Saccharomyces cerevisiae S288C: one gene and its partners. The main gene of each other region encodes a partner of the protein of the gene in region 2 in a complex. Each region holds a gene or a part of one and is shown on either strand. Other genes may lie near its edges.

Region 1 (3,758 bases), 210 kb from region 2:
AACCAGAATAAAGGATTATGGAGGCATTTCTCAAGTATCTGACCATCAAAGTCATCCCATTGGTTTTCATTATTCTCCTAGAATGTCCCCATATTATAGGGATAAAGTTTTGGATAACAATTTGGCTCAATCATCGTCAAATGAAAATTTAGAGAAGGGCGGAGCTTACCTGCCGAATCAAGACCAAAATAGACCATCGAAATCCCTGAGCCCATTGAGAAAAACGCCTTTAAGCGCACGACAGAAAAGGTTTGAAGGCTCAGAGTTCAATGTATTGAATAAGAATGATATTAATTCCATTCTTCGCTCTCCAAAGAAAAAGAAGAACTATCACAAAAGATAACGTTTCTTAATTATGTCTAAGTATATACAGTTACGTAAAAATCAATAAACAAAAGTAAAACAATGCTGTTTGAAAAGTTATCAAAATAATAAATGTATGAAGTATTGTAAATGTTCATGAATAATTAGCTGGACGATTTCTGTTATAGGTCATTCCAACCAAATAACCAATTACTCAGTTTGTGCGTAAAACCAGCAGGTTCATTATTTCTGTATTTCGCTTCTTGCTGACGCATTTTCGATTCTAGGTTTCGCAACAGATTAGGAATATTCGAATTCGGTCCTGCATTTTGCATGAATGGCAATTTGCCATCTATTACATCCAGCCGCTTATTCGGAGAATTTGCTACTATTGGACTTGAAATATTTGTTGGATTACCAGCATGACCGGCAGGAGTATTATCGTCTTCCCTCAGAAGAGTGCCATCAGTTATTATTACGTTTGGTGGGGATGGTGTATTAGATGTCGACGATGTGGAGGAATTTTGATACATAGAAACGTTGAATTCTCCAATGTCGTCGACATTATCAATTTTGCAGCCAGCTAATTGCTCCACCGCATTTTTTGAATATGGGATGCAACCAATCAAAGAACCGCGAAATATGGTTCCATTTTCCTGCAGTGCTCTCAAAGCAGAAGATGGAGAATTATAAGTGAGTTTGACCCAACTTTCACCAGTAAATATTGGATATTTTTTGTTATTCGACTCATTATTTCTGCCTTTTAAAGTAATAGATTTATTAACAGTAGAATCGTTTTCATCACAGCCTGTATCATGATTATGGAATATTCTGAAGGTGTTGGGGTTAATCCCGCGACCCAATCGCAATACTTGAAAGTCTTCCATAATATGACCGAAATGGGAGAAGTGTTCAATCAATTCATTGGAAATTGATTCAGGATAGCCAAATACGATAATTGCGCTCAAACTAGAAGACTTGGAAGATGTTTCATGGACTTTATTGTTTGTTTCGGCGGTGTTGTAATTATTATCTAAATGGTTCTGTTCAATGTTTGCTATTCTAACATAAGAGTCTTTATCAAAAACATTTGGAGTATTTTTGGAATCATAAGCTGACCTATTTGTTTTCTTCGCCGTGTATTTGTCGGTAACAAACTGAGTTGTTAATGATGGAATAGAACCGAATTCATCCTCGCGTTGCCAATCCTGTAAAGTAACGGAGGGTGGAATATCGTTAAAATTTGACAACAGAGAATTGATGTCATTATTTGCCGCAGACTTATTTCTTTCATTATGCTTGGAATCTTGATTTTGCTTACTGAAATTTCTCATAGTAGCGTTCATAGAAGATGAATCATCATTCTGGTTGATGTCAGAAGAAGAATTTTGCTTTGTTGTCTTCCTTCTTATCACCGTATGAGGAGTGAATCTCTTTTTAGGATTATTCACCCAGCTAGGATTATTCCCTTGGCCATGTTGGCTTATGTTATTTGTGCCGTTTTTAATGTTGTTGTTGTTGATGCTATTGTTACCGATATTACTACTATAGTTATTGGCGTTTACAGTATTGGAAAGTGAGTTTCCAAATCGTAAAGAACTTGCATCGGATGATCCATTGAATTGCAAGTGTTGCTGCTGTTGTTGTGGTTGCGGTTGCGGTTGTGGCTGCAACTGTGATTGCGATTGAAACATCTGGGTTGTCTGTGGTGCTTGCGACGTGAGGTTAGTAAATCCACCGTTATTATTGCCTGAACGTATTCCAAACATTTTAATTTGCCGTTCCTTGTTTTCAGGTTACAGAGAAAAAAAAAAAAAGAGAGCGAATAAAAAACTTAAATAGATAGGGAAACGATATGTCTACCTTATCGGGAAATAAACTATGCAGAGGTATGTGTGTGATATTCACAAACCTTTCTTCTTTCATAAGTACTCTCCTTCGAACAAAATTTTTCTAGCATCATTTTTTTATGTATGGCCCTACACAAAGCGTCTTCCGGGTAGTGTAGTAGCTGTCTTGCTGGCGTTAGTTGTCCGGTTATTCTTCATTAGCCGATCATAATCCTCTCTCATCTTGACATATCCCAGATGAATCTTCCCCAAGAAGTGGTCAGCAAGCCTTCTGTCTGTATCTAAACGCGATAGGTATGCCCCACACACCTCGCAAACCTGTAACTTTTGCTGGGCGCTCTGGCCCACGTTTTCTGTAATGTTTCGTACACGTTTTGCAACTTCTTTCCTTTTACTAATCAGTTCTTGTAATTTGACTGACTGTAGCATACCCATACTGACTTCATCTGCACGAATTAAAGAATCAATCTCTTGTCCCATTAGGCCTATCCGCACGTCCAAGACATCTAGTTCTTCGGTAACCTGCTGAATCTTCATTCGTTCCTCAGCGGTGTGTTTTAGATTTTGTAGTGCTACGGATATCTGGCCATTACACTCATTAACAAACCGAGATAGAATGGCCAGATATTCTCTTTCGAATTCGGGAAACGTTTTGCCCTGCTTGACCTCTCTCTCGTACTGAATTTTATGCTTGGTAAGATGCATCTGCGGGCATTTTCCCAGGCTCTGCTTGGTGCCCTGAAACAGGTCGTAGGGGCACTCGCCAACAAGGTATGACTTGCAGATCTTGGGATCGTGTAGTCCGAGGTCTCTTTTTTGATGCGAATACCTGTTGTGGCGGAAACTGAAGTCCCTGCCCATCAGCTGTTCGACGAGTTTGCGTTGTTCTGCGGCAGGCGTTGACATAGTTGACATTCTGACGGTAGTTGGCAGCTTTCTGCTGGGAGTGTAGAGCCTTTTGTAGTATAACTTTTTGTTCTTTTCTTTCTTCTCTAATGCCTGAGGCTTCGGCGGTTATTCGGGTAATACATTAAGGAAGTTGCCATGATGTGGAAGAATACGACTAGTCAGTTAGCGATGGCCAGCTCCTTTACCTAAATCATGTGGCCTATCTTCAGATAGCATACTACCACCAACCATCAATACCTCAATGGCTTTCAACAAGTACCCTTCGTCGGGTTTTCAGCTTTTTTCCTACTTTGCTGGATGCTTTGTGAAGATCAGGAAGAAATTTTATCGGAAAAACCTCACTAGGAGAAACTATATAAAAGAAGGGTCAGACTGAAAATGACGCCGTAATAAACTCGTGGTAGTAGATAAAGCAAACAATGTTGATTACTGAGACCTTTCATGATGTGCAGACATCATACGGCACCACTCTGCGTATATACGTATATTCTCCTAAGATTGCAGGCTATCCACAAGCTAAGTTTCCTGGGGTGATTCTGTACAGTGAAATTTACCAAGTGACGGGTCCGGTTCGTCGTTTTGGTCAAAGAATTGCGTCTGAAGGTTACGTTGTGGTGGCACCTGCCATATACCACAACTTTATGGGCCCTGAAGCGTTGCCCTATGACGTGCAGGGTACCGATATTGGTAACGAGT
Region 2 (3,758 bases):
TTTAGCTTGTTTTCTGCGCCCAAACATAAAAATCAAGAAGCGCGGATAATTTATGATCAGCTCAGCGGGAATGTTAATGGCAGATACTTAGAATTTGGTGGAAACGATTTTCTTCTCTAATCCTCATCAGAGGAGAGGTAATCGAGCAAGGGACCACCAAGCTTACCAACAGATGGCTTTGATGAAATATTTTCTCTACTGATATTTTTTTTCACTTTCTTCAATTTTTCTATAAAATCATCACTCTCCATTCCATTATCTAATGGCAATAGTCTTTTCTTGACATTATCAACACTTGCTTCTGGAAATGTCCTGTCTAACCTTTCATTATTCTTATTATTAACCTCAGTGCCAGCACTATTGGTATTGTTATTGATTAGATGCACCATCATGTTTAAAGACTCTAACTTCAGTTCTTCTTGCAGTCTTTTCTGTGCAGCGGGGTCTGGATCTTCATTTGCCCATTTCACCAATAGTCCAGTACCCTCCCTTCTATCATCCCATTCTTTATCGCTGGGTAGCAGCAATGTCTGATTGCTCATGGCTTCTTTGGCAAATTCTGCATTAGCTTGATATTTAAACTTCACAAATCCACAGTTTTTGCTCTCAACGTATCGTATTCTATCAATATCACCCAATCGAGAAAATACAAATCGAATTCTGCTTTCTATCTGAGCTGGCTTCAAATGCTTGCTATTCAATGCTCCATCAATACCACCTACATACAATGTCTTGTTTTTCTTCCTAAATGAACCGATCCCGCCCATATCCTCTCTATAGTCAGCAAATTTTTCTCTACCAAAACAGTCCAATACCTCTGTCCTCAGGGCCAGTTTACCTATATCTTCTTCGTCTGGTATATGATGCAGATATTCACATTTAGGGCCAAGGCAACACATACCCTTTGCAAAAAATAGACAGAAGAACAACTGGCCATCATTATCGCCCCTAGTCTTCCCAGAATGAAGTTGCGGCTGCAAAGCAAATGGACTAACAAATCGTGTATTCCCCGCAAACCCTTGGGACCATTTATTATACCATATATTAAACGTCAATCCAGTCTGCGCCGGTATAGAGGAGGGCAGTTCTGACTCCTTCACTTGCACTTTCGCGGATTTATCCCTCCAAGATGTCATCCAAATTTCTATCAATGCGTATACTGTCTTACTAACGTCGTTACTACCTTAAGGCCCATCGCCAGTAGTCTTTATTATGATCCAGCCTTCAATACATAATGGAAAATTTCATCATTACCCGCATATGTACGTATGTAACGATGGAATGCTCAAAAACTGAAAAAAATTTTTCTGAAAAAAAGTGATGAGGAATAAAGAAAAGTAAAAAACGAATGCATGATATAGTAGTAGTAAATGGTCAATGGATCATTGGGTAGCAGAGAAACGGAAACAAGTGCAGTAAAAATGGGTAAAGACAACAAGGAACATAAGGAAAGCAAAGAAAGCAAAACCGTAGACAACTATGAGGCCAGAATGCCTGCTGTGTTGCCATTCGCTAAACCATTGGCCTCTAAGAAACTAAACAAGAAGGTCTTGAAGACCGTGAAGAAGGCTTCCAAGGCCAAGAATGTTAAAAGAGGTGTCAAGGAAGTTGTCAAGGCCTTAAGAAAGGGTGAAAAAGGTTTAGTCGTCATCGCCGGTGACATTTCTCCAGCTGATGTTATTTCCCACATCCCAGTCTTATGTGAAGATCACTCTGTCCCATACATCTTCATACCTTCAAAGCAAGACTTAGGTGCCGCTGGCGCTACAAAAAGACCTACCTCAGTTGTCTTTATCGTCCCAGGTAGCAATAAGAAAAAAGATGGAAAAAATAAAGAAGAAGAATACAAGGAATCTTTCAACGAAGTTGTCAAAGAAGTTCAAGCTTTATGAAAAAAGTTCGCTTCTTAACCATATTAGAAATCTAGAAGAAATAAAAAAAATCTGGCATTAGATATATATTTTGACTGTAGGCCTTCTGTATATTATATAATACTACTAATAACATCAAATGTTTGTGACTTTTCGGGTAACCGGGCTTCGTTCTACTGTTCCACTTTTTGTATGTTTAATGAAAATATCATCAAAGAAATAGGTATATAATTGATAACAAGAGAATCGCGGGCCGTTGCTACAGGATATTCTGCAGAGTCGAAGAATGAGATTTGTGTTCGATGAGGTTTTCAATTCAGATACTGATTCTCCAGAATTTGAGGAAACATGTTCTACAACATCTTCTACGTCATCGCAATGCCCTACACCTGAGCCGAGCCCAGCAATAAAGTTACCTTCATTCACGAAAGTTGGCACGAAGAAATTGGTAAATGAGTCGGTAGTTATTTTAGATCCTGCTCTAGAAAACGCCTTGCGCGATTTGAACCTTCAATCGAAACTGATCCCCATTAATGAGCCCATTGTAGCCGCGTCATCGATAATAGTACCGCATTCAACCAATATGCCACTACCGAGAGCATCGCATTCGTCATTGCTAGATAATGCTAAGAACTCAAATGCGACAGCACCCTTACTCGAGGCAATAGAAGAATCTTTTCAAAGGAAAATGCAAAACTTGGTGCTTGCCAATCAGAAAGAAATTCAATCTATTAGAGAAAATAAACGTCGTGTTGAAGAGCAACGTAAGCGAAAAGAGGAGGAAGAGCGCAAACGTAAGGAAGCTGAGGAAAAGGCCAAGCGGGAGCAGGAATTATTACGTCAAAAGAAGGATGAAGAAGAACGTAAACGCAAAGAAGCTGAAGCAAAGCTAGCGCAGCAGAAACAAGAAGAAGAAAGGAAGAAAATAGAAGAACAGAATGAAAAGGAAAGACAATTGAAAAAAGAACATGAAGCCAAATTATTGCAGCAGAAGGATAAATTGGGTAAAGCAGTTACAAACTTTGATAAAATCTCCAAAATGTTTTGGCATTATAAAGACAAAATTGCTCAAATAAAGCAAGACATAGTTCTGCCTATAAAAAAAGCTGATGTGAATGTAAGGAATTTGCTCTCACGTCATAAAAGGAAAATTAACCCGAAATTCGGACAATTAACTAATAGCAACCAGCAACTTTTTAAAATACAGAATGAACTAACTCAATTGATAAATGATACTAAAGGCGACTCTCTAGCATATCATTGGATTTTAAACTTTATTGCCAAAGCCGTAGTACATCAGGCGGAAACAGAAGTCAGGGTAAAACCAGAGTCTGCTCTGCCCCTAGGGAAATTGACTTTATATTTGTTAGTCCAATTCCCAGAGTTACAGGAATTGTTTATGGCAAGACTTGTCAAGAAATGCCCCTTTGTGATAGGATTCACGTGTGAGATTGACACAGAAAAAGGCCGTCAAAACATGGGATGGAAAAGAAACAACGAGAATAAATGGGAAGATAACACATCCTACGATGAGAGAATGGGCGGGATCTTATCATTATTTGCCATAATAACGAGATTACAGTTACCTCAAGAATTTATCACCACCACGAGTCATCCTTTCCCCATCGCATTATCGTGGCATATTTTGGCTAGAATATGTAATACGCCACTAAATTTAATAACAAATACCCATTTTGTCATACTCGGTTCGTGGTGGGATGCCGCTGCCGTACAGTTTCTTCAGGCGTATGGGAACCAAGCCTCTAAATTGCTAATCTTGATTGGTGAGGAATTGACCTCCAGAATGGCTGAAAAGAAATATGTGGGTGCTGCGAGATTAAGAATTTTATTAGAGGCCTGGCAAAATAATAATATGGAGTCCTTTCC
Region 3 (3,758 bases), on a different chromosome or scaffold from region 2:
TGCAATGACATCATTACAGAGATCCATCAATTCTTGAGGGTCGACCTGATTAATCGCATGCAATTCAAATTTCTCGATTAGTTTTGAAAAATCTGGAATAGACAAATCTTGGCAGTTACTCTGCTCGAAATTTTCCAATATGTGAAACAGTAACATTTTACCACTAGTTGCGGATATAACCTCTTCATGCAATAACTTCAAAAACTGGGCGAAAACCGGAGGAGGCAAAATTTCTTTTGCTTTGGCCAATGGAATTTGTAGCTTGTTCAAATCTCCCAAGAATTCATGGATTATCCAATTCGTAGGTAATTTCGCGTTACTACGTTCACCAGCAAGCTTGGAAAATTCACGGAAGGTGTCTAAGTAGTACGATCTCAACGCCTCATGATTGTACATATCGTTTTGGTTACTATTATAAGTCAGAATCTTGGCGTCCTTCAATGATAATTGATAGGGTTTCTTCATAAGAATTCTCATTATATCGTCCGGTAATTGGGGCATCAACCCTCTCACACCACTGATAACGTCTGGTGCGAGGTTGATATACGGCAATTCTGGATCAGGCATGTACCTGTAATCGATCGTGGTTTCTTTGCTTCTCAACTTCACCGTTGATGAGCCTGTCCAGCCCCTTGTTTCTGGCTCCATCAGTGAGCTAGTGTCACCCACAGAAATCAACTCAACTTGCCGCTGATATTCGTACTTGATTGCATTGATGATGGAACTAGTATTGGGTAAATTCTTCAACTCAACGCGTGCATATTCATTAATTGAGAGGTTAACGTCCACTCGCATGGCGCCCGTTTCCAGGTCCCCAGAGGAAATGTGCAAATGACGTACCAAATTCTGATATTTTTTAATAAACGCTCTAACCTGTTTAATATCACTGAAATCTGGTTTAGTTACCAATTCGATAAGCGGGACGTTCGACCTATTTAAATCAACCAAAGTAATAACGTCTTTATCTGTCTCTGTATAGTGTGACTTCCCCGTGTCCTGCTCTATCTGCAACTGTAAGATACCGATTTCCTTGGCTGATTCATCGATATCATCCAATTCCTTCGACAGATTGATCTTCCCACCCCGAGCAAACGGCCTGTAGTGCTGCGTCAGTTGATAGCCTTGAGGTTGATCTCCATAAAAATAATGCTTCCTATCAAACTGAGATATGCTATTCACTTGAGAACCCAGTGCCAAGGATAGTTTCATGGCAAACAAGATTGCTTCCAGATTCAAAACCGGCTGCGTTCCCGGTAGAGCTATGTCATAATAACTAGTATGATGGTTTGGTGCATCCACTAGAGATGTGGCGCTATTCGTTGATTGTGAAAAAAGCTTGTTTTTGGTGTTCAATTGCGTATGAATCTCCAATCCACACTTCAATGCATATTCCGGCCTGAAGGGTGCACCGTGACTATGTATGGCTTTGGTTCTGGCCAAAGAATAAAAACGTGCAAGCCGCAACATATCTAGTTCCTACTCTGGTCTTTTTGGACAGGAATGCTAACAATAACACTATTACTAGGTGGTACGACTAAGTACATCACGTCAAGCTTATTACTACTATAACTACTATTATCATAACAAAAGGGAAAACTAAACCCTATCTAAACAAGGGTTATTTAAATTTTTAACAAGGGCATACAACAAAAAAATAATAAACCTAAAATCAGAAAGTTAATCTTTCAGGGCTTTTGAAAGTGGAATTAACGTCTCTAGTAAACGAGGATTGTTTCCAATGAGATTCTAAGACCCAAATATCCTCTTCTTTACTTTGAAATGTTTGCAATGGACCATGATTATGGATGTGTTCTTTGTGACACGCTTTCAATGTACTCTATATCGTGTTGCACGAAGGATTGTTACTTTATTTGTAAAAAAAAAAACAATTTTTCGAGATGGGACATTAATATTGTAGAATTCTGAACATATTAGTGAACAGTTCTTTCGGAGAATTACTGGAACCTAGGATCTGACAAGCGGACAAAAAAGCAGAGTGCGTTTATTACTTCTCTTTCTAGCGGTTGTTCATGTTTCAAAGTTTTTTCCACAACAATGGGCCCGCTGCTGCCGGTGAAACGTTTTCAGATAGCAGATCGTACCCTTTAACGAATCATCAAGAAGTACCCAGGAATGGACTGAATGAGTTGGCCTCATCTGCAACCAAGGCGCAACAACAACCTACACACATATTAAACTCATATCCAATTACCGGGTCCAACCCACTCATGAGGGCAAGCGCAATGGGGGCGACCTCTGGCAGCATCAATCCTAATATGTCCAACATGAATGAGCACATTCGTGTTTCCGGGATGGGGACTTCTAAGCCCCTGGACTTAGCGGGAAAGTACATTGACCATCTACAACATAAAGATAGTAACACTCCCGTACTCGACGAACGATCTTATTATAACAGCGGGGTAGATTATAACTTCAGCAGAGAAAAAAACGGCTTAGGAGCGTTTACTCCATTTGAAAAGCAAGATGTGTTCAACATTCCGGACGAGATTTTGCATGAATTTTCCACTTCACAGACAAAAACTGATATGGGTATTTTCCCGGAGTTAAATCGATGTTGGATAACTATTGATAATAAACTGATACTCTGGAATATTAACAATGACAATGAGTATCAGGTGGTAGATGATATGAAGCATACCATTCAAAAAGTCGCCTTGGTAAGACCTAAGCCAAACACCTTTGTGCCTGCCGTGAAGCATCTACTTTTGATAAGCACGACAATGGAGCTTTTCATGTTTGCTATTTCCTTAGACAAAGCCACCAACGAACTCAGTGTATTCAATACACATCTATCAGTCCCTGTACAAGGCATTGATGTAATAGACATTGTGTCTCATGAAAGATCGGGTAGAATTTTCTTCGCAGGCCAAGCCAGTGGCCTGAATATCTGGGAGTTGCACTACTCAGGTTCCGATGACTGGTTCAATAGTAAATGTAGTAAGGTCTGTCTGACAAAGTCTGCCCTATTAAGTCTTCTACCTACTAACATGTTATCGCAGATTCCAGGTGTTGATTTTATTCAGGCTTTGTTCGAAGATAATTCTAACGGTAATGGCGGATTTTCTCAAGAGACCATCACGCAACTAACTATTGACCAACAAAGAGGAATCATCTATTCATTATCCTCCAAATCCACCATTAGAGCATACGTAATAACAGAAAAATCACTGGAAGGACCCATGTCAATTGAGCCTGCCTACATCAGTAGGATCATAGGTACCACGACGGCAAGGGCAGCACCGATTTTGGGCCCCAAATACCTAAAAATTGTCAAGATAAGCTCTGTTGCACCAGAAGAAAACAACAATTTGTTTTTAGTTGCTTTAACAGTAGGTGGTGTGCGTTTGTACTTTAATGGTTCCATGGGCAGATTTAACATCGAAGCTTTGAGGTTAGAATCGATCAAGTTCCCCCCTAGTTCTGTAACTCCTGAAGTCATCCAACAAGAATTACTACATCAACAACAGGAACAGGCGAAGAGAAGCTTTCCTTTCTTTTCAAATCTAATGTCTTCCGAACCAGTCCTCTTAAAATTCCAAAAGAAATCATCTGTATTACTAGAGACTACAAAAGCAAGTACAATTATTTCCCCAGGCATATTTTTTTCCGCTGTGATCAAGTCATCTCAGCAAACTCATCAACAAGAAAAAAAAGAGAACTCATCTGTTACTGGAACGACCGCTACCGCAGGGTCTAAAACTGTCAAACAACAGCCAGTTACTTTACAACATAAGCTT

Evidence for each region.
Region 1: GLE1 (region 2) and ASM4 share a complex: the UniProt entries of both Saccharomyces cerevisiae proteins name them as parts of the nuclear pore complex.
Region 3: GLE1 (region 2) and NUP170 share a complex: the UniProt entries of both Saccharomyces cerevisiae proteins name them as parts of the nuclear pore complex.

The regions. Positions count from the first base shown.
Region 1 is NC_001136.10:297,932-301,689, forward strand, and holds ASM4 (FG-nucleoporin ASM4), read right to left. Parts: upstream 2,073-3,758; coding exon 486-2,072; downstream 1-485. Other genes in the region: NUR1 (Nur1p), read left to right, coding at 1-343; LUC7 (Luc7p), read right to left, coding at 2,283-3,068; YDL086W (carboxymethylenebutenolidase), read left to right, coding at 3,482-3,758. UniProt on the Saccharomyces cerevisiae protein: Functions as a component of the nuclear pore complex (NPC).
Region 2 is NC_001136.10:86,091-89,848, forward strand, and holds the start of GLE1 (nucleoporin GLE1), read left to right. Parts: upstream 1-2,157; coding exon 2,158-3,758. Other genes in the region: active spliceosome conformation promoter CWC2, read right to left, coding at 117-1,136; snoRNA-binding protein NHP2, read left to right, coding at 1,422-1,892. UniProt on the Saccharomyces cerevisiae protein: Functions as a component of the nuclear pore complex (NPC).
Region 3 is NC_001134.8:73,229-76,986, forward strand, and holds the start of NUP170 (Nup170p), read left to right. Parts: upstream 1-2,030; coding exon 2,031-3,758. Other genes in the region: glutamyl-tRNA(Gln) amidotransferase subunit PET112, read right to left, coding at 1-1,467. UniProt on the Saccharomyces cerevisiae protein: Functions as a component of the nuclear pore complex (NPC).